Oryctolagus cuniculus: one gene and its partners. The protein of the gene in region 4 interacts with the protein of the main gene of each other region in a biochemical or structural test. Links are inferred from orthologs where the notes say so. Each region holds a gene or a part of one and is shown on either strand. Other genes may lie near its edges.

Evidence for each region.
Region 1: of the proteins of MAPKAPK2 (region 4) and ZFP36, one has a biochemical effect on the other in vitro, tested with the Homo sapiens proteins (2 studies listed by BioGRID). The link is inferred for Oryctolagus cuniculus from reciprocal best matches to the Homo sapiens genes MAPKAPK2 and ZFP36.
Region 2: of the proteins of MAPKAPK2 (region 4) and HSPB1, one has a biochemical effect on the other in vitro, tested with the Homo sapiens proteins (17 studies listed by BioGRID and IntAct, with this or other methods). The link is inferred for Oryctolagus cuniculus from reciprocal best matches to the Homo sapiens genes MAPKAPK2 and HSPB1.
Region 3: of the proteins of MAPKAPK2 (region 4) and ZFP36L1, one has a biochemical effect on the other in vitro, tested with the Homo sapiens proteins (2 studies listed by BioGRID). The link is inferred for Oryctolagus cuniculus from reciprocal best matches to the Homo sapiens genes MAPKAPK2 and ZFP36L1.

Annotation. Positions count from the first base shown.
Region 1 is NC_091449.1:15,543,504-15,547,501, reverse strand, and holds ZFP36 (mRNA decay activator protein ZFP36), read left to right. Parts: upstream 1-1,159; 5' UTR 1,160-1,295; coding exon 1,296-1,319; intron 1,320-2,081; coding exon 2,082-2,993; 3' UTR 2,994-3,680; downstream 3,681-3,998. UniProt on the Homo sapiens protein: Zinc-finger RNA-binding protein that destabilizes several cytoplasmic AU-rich element (ARE)-containing mRNA transcripts by promoting their poly(A) tail removal or deadenylation, and hence provide a mechanism for attenuating protein synthesis.
Region 2 is NC_091450.1:44,266,175-44,269,535, forward strand, and holds HSPB1 (heat shock protein beta-1), read right to left. Parts: upstream 1,973-3,361; 5' UTR 1,811-1,972; coding exon 1,450-1,810; intron 991-1,449; coding exon 927-990; intron 816-926; coding exon 626-815; 3' UTR 525-625; downstream 1-524. UniProt on the Homo sapiens protein: Small heat shock protein which functions as a molecular chaperone probably maintaining denatured proteins in a folding-competent state. Plays a role in stress resistance and actin organization.
Region 3 is NC_091451.1:14,687,954-14,692,208, forward strand, and holds the start of ZFP36L1 (mRNA decay activator protein ZFP36L1), read right to left. Parts: upstream 2,817-4,255; 5' UTR 2,661-2,816; coding exon 2,604-2,660; intron 423-2,603; coding exon 1-422. UniProt on the Homo sapiens protein: Zinc-finger RNA-binding protein that destabilizes several cytoplasmic AU-rich element (ARE)-containing mRNA transcripts by promoting their poly(A) tail removal or deadenylation, and hence provide a mechanism for attenuating protein synthesis.
Region 4 is NC_091444.1:21,850,350-21,854,448, reverse strand, and holds the start of MAPKAPK2 (MAP kinase-activated protein kinase 2), read right to left. Parts: upstream 2,853-4,099; 5' UTR 2,549-2,852; coding exon 2,258-2,548; intron 2,059-2,257; exon of another isoform or gene 1,920-2,058; intron 1-1,919. UniProt on the Homo sapiens protein: Stress-activated serine/threonine-protein kinase involved in cytokine production, endocytosis, reorganization of the cytoskeleton, cell migration, cell cycle control, chromatin remodeling, DNA damage response and transcriptional regulation.

The DNA of each region.
Region 1 (3,998 bases), on a different chromosome or scaffold from region 4:
AAGCAGCCCGGGCAACCGAGGCTTCTCCCCGGGCACCCCTGGCGGTCGCAGCCCGGCCGGCCCGCACCTGGGGACAACCCACTTCTTGCGTTTCAAAACAGCGCTCGGGCGAGGCGGTCTTCCCCAGGAGCGAGGGCCCGCCCACCTGTCCCATCTTGGGCGCCGTCCGGCAGAGGCCCCGCGGCCGGGCGGCTGCTGCTCCCGGGCTGGGGGCCTGCGAGGGTGACCTGACGTGGGTGTCCGGCAGTGTGAGCGCGTGGAAAGCGGAGACAGCCCTGAGTGCCCCCGCGGGTGTCTGCGACCCCACCCCCTCTCGATGACGGCGGCTCCCAGGCCTGGGTCTCCGGTTTGGGAGCGAGGCGGAGCTGCCCCAGCAGGTGTCAGAGAAGGGAATGCCCTATCAGGCAGAATGGTTTCCCTCCCTGCACTTGGCCAGAGTGGACTTTGGGCCTGGGGGGGGGGGTGTTGTTTCTTTGTTAATTCTTCCTCTTGGGGGTTCTTTGCGACCCCCCCCCTCGCTCGCACCGCTCCCGCCTCAGAACTTCTCTGGGGGGGTCGTCTCCTCCCTCGGTGTAGAATCTCTGCCTGTGTCTCTCCACCTCTGGTGTCTCTCCCTGCGCCTCCCTCCATCTCACCCTCTCTCAGCACGGCTCTGCGTGTCTCTCCCTTTCTCTCAGCGTTATGCCTTCCTGTCTCTGTGTCCCTGCGACTCCCTGTGTACGTCTGTTTCCCATGTTCCCCCCCCCACCCCCACACACACCCCGGGTCTCTTCCTCCCTGTCTCTCCCTTTCCAGCTACCTGCCGGCCTCTGGCTCGCTGTGTGAGCCCGTCCCTCCCTCTGCTTCTCGTCGGTTTTTTCTCTCCTCTGCCCACCCCCCGCGCCGTCAGCCGCGCAGGCCCTCTCGGCCTCTGCCCTTGTCAGTTGCTCCGGCAGCCCTGCCCCCACCCGTGTCCCAGTTCCATTCTCCGGCCTCCGTCTCTAGCCTTGAAACCTGGGCAGGCAGACGCCCTTCCCGCCCCGCGCCCCACCCCACGCACTCCCCTCCGGGCCGCCCCGCCGCGCGCAGGCCCCGTCCTGGCCGGCAGCCGGGCGGAAGGGGACTAGCCCAGGGCCCGTCGGGCTGCGCCGGGGGCGCGCGTCCGGGAAGCGCCCCTCCTGGCCCCGCCCCGCCCTGGGCCCGCCCCTCTCGACCACGCCCCCACTGCCCTATAAGAAGGTGTCTGTCGCGGGTAGCCGCAGCCTGGTTTCAGCGCTCCGACTTTGGGCCGATCCCTCAGGGCCAAACGCGCCGCCATGGATCTCACAGCCATCTACGAGGTGAGTCCCCTCCGGACTCCCCAGCGCCGGGACGCTAGCCTCCCTGCCAAGCTGGGGGGGGGGGCTCTTCTGCGCTACACCCTCCGACCCCGGCCCCCGGCTGCCTTTTCCGGACCGACCTGATTATCGGGGGGCGGGGGTGGGGGGTGGGAAGTAAAAATGGAGCCCCCGCCTGCCGGCTCTCGGCCCGGCCGGCACTTGGGTGGGGGCCCCGTGGAGTGGCCGCTGGGAAACTTTGCTCAGACCAGGGCTGGTCGGAGGCGGAAACGGCGCCGCACCTGGCTCACCCCTCGTAGTCGCCGAGGGCGCGGTGCCGCGCGGAGGCGTTTTTGGGGCTGAGTCTCGGGGCGGGGAAGCCGACTTCTGCCTCTGACGCCTCGACCCGCCTTCTCCGGGAACTCAAACCCCAAAGACCAGACTCCCGAGTTGGCTCTGCCAGGCTCCTCCCGTTGTGAAACTGGAGAACTAACCCGCTGCGCTCCTCATATCCGGGAAGGCCCAGCGGCTCCAAGTTGGGGACCTGACTTTAGGGTCCCCTGTTGATCCTCCCGGGAAGCTGGGATTCCTCCTCCAGCCGTGGCTCAACGCAGAGCCCCTGAACCGGGATCGCCGCTGGGTTCCGGAAATCCCGGTTGCCGTGGGCGGGTGGGGCTCCGGCCGGGAGCCCACAAACCGGCCTGGCAAGGTCTTGAAGTGCCCTGCAGCTGGGGCGCGCCTCGCCCTGCGTCTGCGGGTGTCCTAACCCGATCCCTGTTCCCACAGAGCCTCGTGTCGCTGCACCCTGACCCCCCATCCGACCACGGAGGGACGGATCCTTCGGGACTCTGGGGCCCGGCTGGGATCACCTCTCGCCTGCCGGGCCGCTCCACCAGCCTGGTAGAGGGCCGCAGCTGCGGCTGGGTGCCGCCACCCCCTGGCTTCGCACCCCTGGCTCCCCGCCCGGGCCCGGAGCTGGCGCCCTCGCCCACCTCGCCCACGGCGACCCCCACCACCTCCTCCCGCTACAAGACTGAGCTGTGTCGGACCTTCTCGGAGAGTGGACGCTGCCGCTACGGCGCCAAATGCCAGTTTGCCCATGGCCTGGGCGAGCTGCGCCAAGCCAATCGCCACCCCAAGTACAAGACTGAACTCTGCCACAAGTTCTACCTCCAGGGCCGCTGTCCCTACGGCTCCCGCTGCCACTTCATCCACAACCCCAGCGAGGACCTGGCCGCCCCCGGCCACCCCCACGTGCTGCGCCAGAGCGTGAGCTTCTCCGGCCTGCCCTCCGGCCGCAGGACATCGCCTCCGCCGCCGGGCCTCGCAGGCCCCTCCCTGTCCTCCTGCTCCTTCTCGCCACCCAGCTCCCCGCCCCCACCGGGGGACGCTCCGCTTTCACCCTCGGCCTTCTCTGCCGCCCCTGGGACCCCCGTGGCTCGAAGGGACCCCACGCCCGCCTGCTGCCCCTCCTGCCGCCGGGCCAACCCTGTCAGCATCTGGGGGCCCTTGGGTGGCCTGGCCCGGAGCCCCTCGGCGCACTCCCTGGGCTCAGACCCGGATGAGTACGCCAGCAGCGGCAGCAGCCTGGGGGGGTCCGACTCTCCTGTCTTCGAGACGGGAGCTTTCGGGCCACCCCAGCCGCCTGCAGCCCCCAGGCGCCTCCCCATCTTCAACCGCATCTCCGTGTCTGAGTGACGGAGATCCGTTGGATAGAGGGGCGCCGCGGTGTGCCGTGGGTTCCGCTGGGCCCAGGGCCTGTGGGGAAGGGATCCTAATTCATTCAAGTGGGTCCCTCCCTCCCCCGCATTCCAAAATGCATTAACTTCACCCCTGACCCCACGCTGGGGCAGGTCCCCGGTGTGCAAGCTCAGTGTTCACGGTGTTGGGGGACAGAGTGCTCTCTGGGGTTCTTTGAAGATGTAGCATACTGGAGGGAGACAGTGAGCCCCGTCCCCCCCGACCTGCACCCCGTCTGAATCTCCTGGAATCTCATGTGCTGTGAATAGTAGCCCCCTGCGCGCCCCCTCCCACTTCTTCCTGAGGTCCCAGCGTCTGGTGGTGAGTGGAGCCTCCCCGAGGGAGACTCCTGGTGCTCAAATTTCCCTCCACAAGCAAGCAAAGCCGTTGCCAAACCCCTCCCCCAACCGACGGGCCCTTTATTTATGACGACTTTATTTATTCTAATAAGGTTTTATAGTATTTATATATATTGAGTCGTCTGCTTCCTTTGTATTTTTTCCTCCTCTTTTTTGTAATATTGGAAACTGGTATAATTATTAAGTATGCTATAATAATATATTAAGTAATATATATTGTTACCTTAAAAGTCTATTTTTGTGTTTTAGAATTTTTAAATAAAAGGAACCGGCGTGTAAACTGGAACCCTGGCCTTTGTGCTGTCCGGGGCGGGGAGGGGGCGAGAGCCCAGCCGCCCTGCGGCGCTTACCTGGCAGGAAGTGACGTCACCAGGCCCGCCGTTCACCTGAGAGGGCGGGGCCAGGTGAGGTCACGGGGGGGAGCCGGGCGAGCCGGTTCCCGAGGCGTCTGGGGACGCTGCACTCGCGTCCTGCCGGGCTGCTAGGCCCGAGCGGGCGGGGACGGGACATTTCCGTCCCCACGGGGCCGGGGCGGCGAGAGGACGGAATGTGCCGGCGCCAGGCGCGGGGCGGGCGGGGACGGCCCGTGGAGTCTGGGGTCTGC
Region 2 (3,361 bases), on a different chromosome or scaffold from region 4:
AGCCCCCATTGGCTTCCTGCCTCTTTCAGATCCGTCGGGACCCTCTCCTTAAGTCTAGGGAAGAGGCTGGCAGGGAGGGCCAGGCAGAAGAGGGAGAGGGCTGAGGGGGTGTGGCTGTCCCCGCCCGGGCAAGTCAAGGCAGCTCTGCATATCAAGATCACAGCCTTCCGGACCAACACCTGGGCCACACCCCCTTCCCCCTGCGCACGGTGCCCAGGGGCAGGGGCAGAGCCCATGCCGCACCAAGGGGCTGCCCAGGTGGGCTCAGTCACCTGGAATTGCCTGCTTCACCGAGGGTCTGGGAGCTCCGGGCAAGCGCCCTCCCCTACTCCTGCTCAGTTCCTCCTCACCTGGGACAGGTGCGTCTCCTGGGTTTGCAGACTCCCACACCTGGCCCTGTCTGGTTGCAATCATTCCCCTTCTCCATGGACAGGAGACCCCTAGGGTCGTCTACCCCTCTGTGCCAAAATGACGCCATGTGACCCGCCCCTCCCCCCTCCAAACACCAGGGTCCCAGGCAGGAGCAAGCAGCTGCTTTGAACTTTATTTGCGAAGACCAGAAGCTTAACAGTATCAAAAGGGCACGCAGGTGGGTGCTGGGGGCTGGGCGGCGCGCGAGGGCGCTCTACTTGGCCGCAGGCTGCTCGGACTTCCCGGCTTCCGGGCCGCCGATCTGGGCGCGGGCCTCGAAGGTGACCGGGATGGTGATCTCCGCCGACTGCGTGGCCGGCTTGGGCAGCGGCGCTTCCACGGTGAGCGTACCCTCAGGGGACAGCGAGGAGGAGACCAGCGTGGGGTCCACGCCGGGGGGCAGCCTGGACGCGGCAGGGAAGGAAGAGGGCAAGAAAGAGTTAACACAGCGCTGGGCGGCAGGGGTCACTCCTCCCCGGGTTCCCACCCCCTAGCTGGCCAGGGCCAGGACTCACGTGTACTTCCGGGTGAAACAGCGGGAGATGTAGCCGTGTTCGTCCTGTCGCTCTTCGTGTTTGCCTGGGTTGGGGGGGTGCAGAGGGAGGTCAGAGGTCACGGGAAGGGGGCCCCTCCACTTGCTCAGGGGTAGCTGGGGCCCCAGACAGGCACAGCCTGAGCCAGCAACTGCTGGAGACTGGCAGGGGGTGTGGCGTGCGCCTGACTGTCGGGACCCTCAAACTTCTGGAAAGTTCCGAGTTTGGGGAGTGGCCAGCCGCGCAGGCGCGCGTGGGGCGGGGCACACGCCCCCCCCCCCAGTCTCCCTGCGCGGTCCTGGGGCGCTGCTGATTTGGGGCGGGGGTCTTGGCTGGAAGCAGCGCCTCTGCCCCCAATAGAGGGACCCTCAGGGGCAGCCCGCACCGCTCCCCGCCGTCCCCTGCGCCCCTGCCGCGCCGCGGGCCGGGGCGGCGCTCCGGCGGACTTTTAACTCCACCCCACCCCACCCCACCCCCGGCCCCTGCGCCCCGGCCCGGGGCTCACCCGTGATCTCCACCACGCCGTCCTTGGTCTTGACCGTCAGCTCCTCCGGGGCGAAGTGGTTCACGTCCAGGGACACGCGCCAGCGGTCGGCCGTGTGCCGGATCTCCGAGACGCCGCTGCTGAGCTGCCGGCTGAGCGCACGGCTGTAGGCGGGCGCGGCCACGGCGGGGGCCTCCGCGGCGGGCAGGGGCCGCACGTAGCCTGGCCAGCTGCTGCCGCCGAACCACTGCGCCCACTCCTCGGGCAGCCGCGGCAGCCCGAAGGCCTGGTCGAAGAGGCGGCTGTGCACCGGGTACCAGTCGCGGAACGGGTCCCAGCTGGGGCTGCGCAGGAGCGAGAAAGGCACGCGGCGCTCGGTCATGGTTGCGGTGCGCGGGGCAGGGGCGCGGAGAAGTGCGGGGCTGCGGCCCCAGACGCGCTTTTATGGGTCTCCAGCCGGGTATTTTTAGCAGGCGGTGCTTCGGGTCTCTATTAATGGCAATGACCAGCTGGGGGCTGCCCCGCCCCCTGAATTCCTCCCCCGTGATTACAGGGGCGGGCCGTGGAAGGTTCTGCCCACATCTGGAACCTTCTCCGGTTTAGGGAAGCGAAATGCGTGGCTGGAGCCGCGCCCACGGCCGGGCCCTACAGCCTGCGCGCTCAAGCGCAGTGGCCGGCGGCCAGCCCGTGTCTTTTGTGGAAGACCCAGGGGTCACAGGAGGTTGGGTGGTCCCAGAGTGACCACGGGGGGTCCCTGGGGCGGGGCGCATGCTTCTACCACCAGGCGGGCTGGCTTGTGGCAGTGAGGCTCCTGCCTCACTTTCCCCATCTGGAAAATCTGGCAGCGAAAATGCTTGGTGATTGGGTTAGCAGGGAATGCAGTGACGTCATGCGCCTGCTGGGTCATCCTGGTTCGCTGTCGTCATCCACCTGGAAGGGGATGAGGAGGCGGAGTTGGTGGGGTCTGGCCTTTCCCCCCTACCCGGACCAGAGACCTCCAAGCTCTAGCGCTGAGAGAGAGGGGTCTGGAGGAAGTTTGTTGTTCCGGCTCCCTGCTAGGACCTGGCTTCCCTTAAACCCTGGCCAGGGAACCTCAAGTGCAGCAAACTTGAGAGCAGGCGGGGCTTGGCTCCCTGGCTTCCTGCTGTGACTAGGGGCAAAATCTCCTTGCTGGGCCTCAGTTTCCCTTTCTGCAATTGATGGTCCTCGGGGCGCAGGGCAAGGGGCCTCCACGTGGTACAGTTCACTCTAGCTGGCTGTGAGCCTGGACACCCCACCCCCTCCTGCCCCCTCTCACACACCCCCACTCGCCTCATCCATCTGACACACACCCCACCCTCCCCTGCCTCCTCCATCTGACACACTCCCACCCCCACCTGCCTCCTCCATGACACACACCCCCCACCCCCACCCGCCTCCTCCATCTGACACAGTCCCACCCCCACCTGCCTCCTCCATGACACACACACACCCCACCCCCACCTGCCTCCTCCGACACCCCCCTCCCCCGACTCCGCTGGCCATCCTTTATACTCCACAGTTGCTCTGTCTGCACTTCACGGGCACCCCCTGTCCAGCCTGCCTTCTCCCCTGGTAGACGTTCTGTGAGAGGAACCTAAAGGTCCAAGAAATTGGGTGACAGCCCTGGTCTTCCCTAAAACTCAGGCAGGGTCAGCCTGTGGCCCTGCCGCTCCCTGCTTCCTCTCCCAGACACACACGGGGGCTGGGGCTCCCCACCCACAGCAGCCAGACTCCCGGTCACTCACTGCTGAGAGGCTGGGGTAGCAGGAAGCCCCCTCCCCTCTCTGAGCCTGTTTCCTTTCTTTTTTAATTTAATTATTTGGAGGCTGGTGCTGTGCCGTAGAAGCTCCTGGCTTCAGCCTGGCTGTCGTGGCCGTTTGGGGAGTGAACCAGCAGATGGAGGGTCTCTCTC
Region 3 (4,255 bases), on a different chromosome or scaffold from region 4:
GTGCGGCACAGCTCCGTCTTGTACTTGGGGTGGCGGGTCAGGCTGCGCAGCTCGTGGATGCCGTGCGCGAACTGGCACTTGTCCCCGTACTTACAGGCGCCGTTCTCCTCGAAGGGGCGGCACAGCTCCGTCTTGTAGCGGCTCGAGTTGACCTGGCCGCTCCCGGGCTGCTTCTGCGGCGGCAGCAGCCGCTCGCCCCCTTCGGAGAAGGAGCGGTCGCGGAAGCGGCTGTCCCGGGAGCTCAGGGCCGCGGCCGGCTCGCCCTTGAGGGTGCTGAGGAGTTGGTTCTGGTGGAACTTGGAGCTGGGTAGGGTGACCGAGTGCCTCCGGGGGAAGCCCCCGCCAGCAGGGGTGCCCACTGCCTTTCTGTCCAGCAGGCAGCCCGCGGTGCTGGGAGCACTGTAGTTGATCATCTTGTTACCCTGCAGGGAGGAGAGGGCAGAGAAAGGGGCGGTCAGCCATGGGGGGCATCCAGCCGGGGGCAGGCCCCTCTCACAGGAGCCGTCTCCCCGCCCCCAACCGCCCCCAGGTGGATTTTGGTCCCATGAATAAGAAACCACAAAATGCTGGCTGACAAACTGCTTCTCCTTCTGTCCTGCTCCACGCTGACCCAGGCCGTGCACCCTCATAACCACTTGTACCTGTAAAACCAACTCCCTGACCTCCCCCCTGGGCCCCTCCACCCAAAGTACCCAGCTCAGCCCAGACCTGGCAAGACTCCCCTCCCCCTACCAAAAATGAAAAGCCTCAGAGAGCAAAGTTAACAGTCAAGTCCCCCTCTTGATCCGTCTCTGCTCCCACGCACGACCTGGCCCACGACTCTGGACTTCCTCGTCCAGAAGAGTGCTCCCTTCCCTGGGCAACAGGTGCTCACGGCTGCCTGAGCTCCCTGCTTGAAGGGGGCAGGACGGAAGACCTAGGGGCCCCGGTCTGCGCTGGGGAAGGGGAGGGAGGGGGCTCCAGGCTCCTCCAAGGGGCTATTCCACAATGCTCTCCCCAACCCCCTGGGCTGCAAAGATGCCTTTGCAGTGAGTGCCCTGGCTGCAAGAGCAGGCTTGAAGAAGAGTACCAGTGTTTAATCTTTAACGCGAAGCTGCAGATGGGAAGCCAGGGCAAGCACCCACCCCCCACCTCCCAATCAATAGCAGATGGGGGGGGGTGTTGCAGAGCAACTACAGGCAAGTTTCTGTTCCAATGAGACCCTGGTCACCTGCCCAAAGGGTGGACGAGCTTTGGAAAGGGTGTGATGGGGGGGAACCTGGGAGTTGGCTCCCAGGTCGTGTGGGTGCCACCGTGCCAATTCTAAAGTCGGCCCCTCGGGATCAGCCGTGGGGGATCGGGAATCTGTAACTGCAACCACCCCACCGAGCGGATTACAGGAACCCAGTGGAGAGCCGGTTCCCAACAATGAGGTTCATTTAAAAAGTCCTGCCGGGGGGAGGGGGCGAAGAAAGCGCACTAGATCAAAGAGCGGGAGCGCGCGGGGAAGGGGGGAGACTGCGGGAGCGAGTGGAGGTCGCGAGGGAGGAAAGCTGAGCATTCCAACTTCTTAAAAGTTGTTCTGCAGCTCCCGGCGTCCGGCACCCCAAGCCTGCAGCCCCGGGGCCCTGGCAGCTGCGCCGACAGCAGCAGCGAGCAGGGAAGACGGCAACATGACCCGACGTGTTGAAGACCGGGGAGAAACACTTCAGCAATTAAAAGCAGCCTAGCAGCTTCACCCTTTCAAACTGGGGGAGGGGGCGGTTGCAAAGAAGTTTAACAACCACCACAGGCTTTGGTTCTGTACATTGAAACCGCACTCCTGGAACGGCTCCGAGTTTGAAACCGGCTTTATCCAACACGGGCTGGCAAAGCTACAAAGCCCAAGAAGCAGGCCCCTCACAGGGACCCTTAAGCTCAGCCTGGCAGTTTGTTACGACCCCCTGTCCCCCACCACCACCACCAACACCACGGCCCATGAGCCGCGCGGGTCTTCGGGAGCAGCCCGGGGCCCACTCGCCCCCTAGACCCACAGCGCCGTCGGGCCCGGCGGCCCTAACCCCGCCGCCGACTCATTGGCAACATCTTTTCAATCACCACTGGAGGCCTTTCTCCTCCGAATGGATTCCCCAGCTCCTCCGAAGCAGAAAGCGTGGGGTTACCTCCCGGCCACGCGTCGCGCCAGACTCGTTTTCCCGCGGGACCCCCGCAGCCCCACGCCCAGCCCACAAGCCGGCCGCGCTTGCATGGACGCGTGCCCCTCCGCGCCGCGGCACCGGGGCGCACCCCGGCCCCAGCCACACGTCGCGGGCCGAGGACTCGCCCCAGACCTGCCCCGATGCCACGCAGCCTTCGCCCCCCAGGATCCTGGCTCCTAGACCCCGGGGTCATCCCCGCCAGGGGCCGTGGAGACTCCAAGGGTGCGGAGGACAAATTCCTTCAAACTCGGCCGGAACCTCAGGCGGAGACGCAAAGCAGCTCTTGCTTCGCCTCCCTCCTCTTCCTCCTGCTTTCCAAAGACCCAAACTTCCCCCCCGCCTCCCCGGGGACGGACGAGTGCGGCCGTTCTTAAGGCAAAACCGAAAAAGACTTTTCGAAAAAGCAGTCGCTCCGCCCCACTTTACCTTGCATAAAACTTCGCTCAAGTCGAAGATGGTAGCAGACACGAGGGTGGTGGTCATCCTGAGCGCTCGCACGGGGGGCAGAGGCGAGGGTCTGGTGCGTGGCGAAGGTCCCGGTGCGGGGAAGGCGCAGCCGCCGGCTCTGGGGTCTGGACTCCCGCGCGCCTGCTCCCAGCGCCCCTCGCCTGTCTCACTCTCCCGGGCTGCGGCGCGCAAAGCCCAATTTATAAAGTTTCAGATTTGGTGGGCCGGGGCGGGGGGGGGGAGGAGGAGCTCTAAAGTTATTTAAATGAGGAAGAGGAGGGGGAAAAAAGTTGATTGACACCGAGGTTGAATCAGCCATGCGGTCAAGCTGGGGGTGGAGTGGGGGGGGAGGAGAGAAAAGCAAGAAGGGGGAGGGGAGACGAGGAAAGAGGCGGAAAAAAAAAACCACTGCGAGCCGCGCACAACTTTTTTTTTTTTTCTTAAAGAGGAAAACTTTCGAGTCGGCGGGCTCGGCCGGCCCGCGCCCCGGGTGCGCGCGGCGCAGGGGGAGGGACACAGCCGCCGAGCCCAGGTCTGTGACGTCACCCCCCCCAGCTCGGTGCCTGTTGTCGTGTTGTTGTTTTCTGTCCGGCACGAAGGCGGGCTCGACTTTCTCCTTTTTTTTTTTTTTTTTTTTTTTTTTTGCTCGTCCCGTGCGCCCGGGCTGCGTTGTCCGACGGGTGCGGGTGTCCCCTGAAAACTTCGCCAGGCGCCCGCACCACTCCCGGCGTCTCCCAGCGAACCGGGCGGGCCGGCACGCACGCAGCGTTAGAGCCGAGGGTTGGAGGCTTGGAGGGGGTTTGTGTTTGTTTGTTTGTTTTATTTTTTATTTTATTTTATTTTATTTTTGCGGAGTGGGGGGCGGGGGTACTCGGGAAACTTTTTCGCCCAGCGGGGGCGAGCACAGCACGATTCTGGGCCAAGCACGCGTCTACACTCGCGCTCGCTTTGCAGCCCGCGCTTGTCTGGGTGTGGGCGGGGGGGGGGGGGCGTTGCCAAAAAAGACCACCGCTCGGGCTGATTGCTACTTTTAACAGGTCTAGGCGTGGCGCTTCTTTCACGCATCCAATCTAAACTTTTAAAAGCACAGGAAAACCCTAAATGCTTCCTCCCCGCAAAAAAAAAAAAAAGGAAAAAAAGAAACCACAGCAACGAACCACTTTCCACGCGCGCTCTCAAACACAGGCCTCGACTTCCCCCGTCCCCCACACACACCTCCCTCGCCCCGACACTAGAACAATGAAAAAAAAAGTGACTTTGGCTAAGCACGCAGGCGAATAGGGGGAGGCGACACTTTTAACTCATTGTCGTTTCCCTCCCGCCCCCACGGGGACGGAACATATGGCTGGGCTGGCCGCGCTGATTTGGCGGGCGGTGGGGAGGGGGCGACACGGGACCCACGAACCAAAAGGCCCGCGGTGATCATGAACTCCCTTTTTAAAAAATGATAAAATACCCACTTATTTACTGCTAGGTCCGGATGCCCCCCCCCCGCCCCTGCCCCGGCCTCCGCCCGGGCGCCGGGGCGCACAGCGAGGCGGAAATCGCGGGGCCGCGTGTCTTTCCTATTTCCACGCGGGCCGGGCCGCCTCCTCGGGCCTCGCGCGTTTCTTCCCAGCACTCGAGGCTGC
Region 4 (4,099 bases):
CTGCCGAGCACAGGGCTAGAATACCTGCAACAAGTCACTCCTCGCACCTGCAACACGAGGGGGCTGACGAGATGCCGGCTGGAGTCCTGTCCAGCTCTGCCTGCAAGCGTGAGCGTGACTCAGAGCTCTGCAAGAGCAGCCAGGGGAGACAGCGAGCTGAGGTCACAGCACCCACCAAAACCATGTAAATGTCAGCTCTCAGAGGTGGAGGTGGAGACAAAGCAGGCGCGCTGGACCATTGGGTAAGCCCTGCTCTCACCTAACAGGTCTGAGAGGTCACCGGACCACAGACAGGGAGCCGGGCATCCCAGCAGCTGCCACCTGCTCCGAGCTTCGAGCTGTCACACTTCCCAGCCCCTGTGGCTCTGCGCGAGCCCCCAGCGATGGCCTTCCCACACTGTGCCCAGTGCTAGTCTGCCTCCTTCTTGAAGCCTTCCTCTTGGGGGTACTCCTGCTGCCCCCACAGCTTCATAATCAAAAATCTGACTTTACAATCAAAAGACTTCTGCTTGTTAAAAAAAAAAAAAAATCACACCATTCTTCAGTCCCTAAGGTTAATCAGAATTCCCGATCTGGAAGTCTCTTTGGTGTGAGGAACAGGATCCGTTGAGCCAGATTCCCCCACAGCTGCAATTATGTCTTAGCCAATATTTGGATATGGAAGTGCTGTTGACACCGCTGTCAGTCTCCTGATGCCTCGCCCCTACTCTCTTCCTCTATTATTAAGTTTTAACACAGAGATGTGTGGGAAATCTACCATTGAACAGTTGAGTCAACTTAGAAGGTCTGGGAGCAGGCTGCCTGTCAAAACATTCTGCCTTCCATCTTCACCCACTCTAACCTGAGGAGGATAAATTACAAGTGCTGTTTAATACGCTGCTCATTTCTTCCTTTCAGAACTATTCAGAAGAGGAAAATATGCAAGCAGCTTGCCTATTAATTGCAATAAAAATCTGAACTGCCACCCAGAAGCACTTCAGAAGGTGGTTTTGCGTGTCCAAGTCTACGCAGCAGAAGTCGGGAGCTTTTGTCCTCAAGCCTTTTTATGCCATATTCCAACCATTCAGGGGACAAGGAAGGCAGATGGCAACTCAGAGAGGACACAAAACCCTCCTGGAAAGCGTGCCTGTCACCTCCTCCAGGATGCAGGTTAACCGTGGTCAAACTGACCCGTCAACGGCAATGCCCAAGGTCAGAGCCATGGTCAGGCGGAACAGTTCCTCCCCCCTCCTCTCCCGGCTGTTGGTATGGAAAGAAGTGTAAGGCACACCTTGCAGGGTGCCCTAAATTCTGACAAACACTCTCCCACCATTGCCACCACCAGCAGAGATCCCACAACCGGAGCTTATGGCCAAAAGCCAAGAAACCCGGCAGCGTGGAGGAGAAAAGGGGCGAGAGAATCATTGCAGAGACCCCAAAACCCTCGAAATCGAGCACGCCTGCCCCTCTGCGCCCGGTTTCTATGAGGCTGGTTGTATATCCGACGCTCCACCCACAACTCCTATCTGAGTTTTGTCTTTGATAACTGAAACGTGAAAGGGAAGAGAAAAATACAACACAGGAAGTATTTTTCTCCTCCTCCAATCATTAAGACACCCCCCAGGGAGACAGATGTGCCCGGCTCCCTCCGGAGACAGGGTCTGAGCCGAAACCCTTCGGGTGACCCCGACCGACGGAGCGCCCCCCACCCCTCCGCGGGCCGCCAGGTGCGCTCCGGGCAACTTCTCCGGCAGGTCTCCGCTTAGAAACCCGCACCCCCGCCCCCGACACCCCTTCAAACGAAAACAAAACAAACAGAGGCTGGGTTTCCCCGGCGCTCCCTCCACCGCCCAGCGAGCGCGGCGCCCGGGACGCGAGCGGCGCCCGGGCCCCGGGTTCCCGGGCCGGAGTTAGAGTGGCCCGCGCGCGGGACCCGTCCGCCCCGCCGGTCCCCGGCCCGCGCGGCCGCCCTCGCGAGGCCCCGGGAAGTGAAATCACACATTCCGGCTCCCAAATAAGGAGCGAGCCGAAGGAAACCTCCGAGATCCGACTTCTCCAAACCCACCGACCACCCGCCCGGTGAGTAATGGGCCTTTTGTGCCCGCGGGAAGAAAGGGAGGAGGGAGGCGGGCGTGGGGCCCCGTATCCCCGACACGGCGCGGGCTCGGCACCAGTGGCCCCGGCGCCGGAGCCCTGCGGGTGCCCCGCGCCGCCGCGGTGGCCGGAAACTCGGCGGGGGCCGCGGGCTCCCCTCGCGCGCCCCCCGGCCCACACCTACCTTGAGGGCGAATTTCTCCTGCGTCTTCTTGCTGAAGATCTGCAGAACTTTGCCGTTGATGCCCAGCCCCAGGACCTGGCTGGTGACCTTGTAGTCGTCGATGATGGCGTTTTTCTTGATCTGCAGGCCCGACCTGACGTGGAACTGCGGGAACTGCTGCGGGGGCGGCGGCGGCGGCGCCGGGGCCGGGGGCTGCGCCGGGGCCGGGGGCGGCTGCTGCTGCGGCGGCGGCGGCGGCGGCGGCCCGGGGGGCGGCGCGGGCGCGCTCGGGCCCTGCGGGCCGGGCAGCATGGCGCCGGCGGCCGCCCCCTCCTCCGGCCCGGGACGGGGTCCCCGCTGCCCCCCGCCCGGCTGCGAAGTTTGCTCCTGGCTGGAGCCGGCGTCCGCGCCCCCGCCCGGCTCCAGGCTCTGCGGGCCGCGGGGCTCCGTGGGTCCCGCCGCTGGTGCCCACCGGCCCTACACCCTCCCTCCCTCCCTCCCTCCCCCCCCCGGGGGCCTGGCGCTCCGGGGGCCGCGGGACAGCGGGGCCCGGCCGGGGGGCAGCGGCCGCGCGACAAAGTCCCAGCCCCGGGGCCGGCGGCCGCGTCACAGCCTCGTCTGCGTCCGGGGCCGGTCCTTAAAGGGGAGGGTCGGAGGGGCGGGGCCCGGGGCGGTGTGGGTGTGGGGGAGGGGCGGGCCTTAAAGGGGAGGACGCGCGGCGCCGGCCGCGTGCTGGGGAGGCCCGGGGCCCGGGGCCCGGGGCCGGGGGCTGGGACCCCGCGGGGCGGGAGAAGGACCGGGGAAAGCGTGTCCCTCGGCCGGCGCCGCGCGCGGGGCGCGGGGAGGCGTGGGAGAGCTGCTGCGTAATGCCGAGAGAAAATCCACTTTCCTCCAATTGTCTGGCCCATTTTGGGCGGCAGCGGCAAGTTGGAAGAGAAGGGGTGCCTTGGCCAGGTGAGACCTCGGGGGCCACCCGCCCTGGGACAGGTGCGAGCACCTGGTGAGCGTTCTTCTCCGAGGCTTTGCCCTTTTCTAGTACATGTGTGGTTTTTCAGGGAAGATTCACTACTGTGAGCCGTGGACGAGTTAGGAGCTATACCTTCAAACGGGAGAAGACGCAGGGTGCGAGGCTGATGGCTCCCTAGGAGCCCCTTTCTTCCCACCTGCCGGCCGCGCGGTCCGGACGGGGAGACCAGCGGCCCCTTCCCGAGGGTGTGCAGAGACTCAGAGTGATAAGGTTTTCATTTCCAACATGGAAAAACTAATCCTGAACCTAGAGCCTTGAGAAGTGGGTGTTTCTGAGAAAGCTGGTTTAGTCCAGGGCGATTCCCAGGGTCCTGCGGGACCCACAGCATAACCAGGGCCAGGGGAGGGGTGGAGGGAGGCCCAGACCCTTGGCCGGGAGAGAGGCTGCCTGGGAGGGCCGCTGCACCCCTGGAAGAGGAAATCCAGGGTGCATCCGGGGCTCTTCTTGTTCCCAGAGGGTTGGGAGATAATCACCAAACACATCCCTTGAGCTGCTCCCTCCTTGGACTAGTAGAGCAGCGGAGAAATAAGAGGAGGGCCCCAGCCAGGGAAAGACAAGACTCCAGGTCAGTTACAGCCAAGTCTGTATCAGAGTGAGACCTGACTTGTGGCCACACATGGCCCATAAAACTCATCCTCAAAAAAAAAAAAAAAAAACTCTGGAGAGAGCAGCCTGAGCCCTTGGGAACTGAGTCCAGGAGGACAGGGCAAAAGTGATAGTGACCCCTGCCTGGTTCATCTTTCCCAGGAGAGTGAAGGGCAGGGGTCCCGCTCCCAGCCCTGTCCCTTCCAAGGCGAGCAGAGCTCACTCTGTGGGCCAGCGAGATACATGGTTCC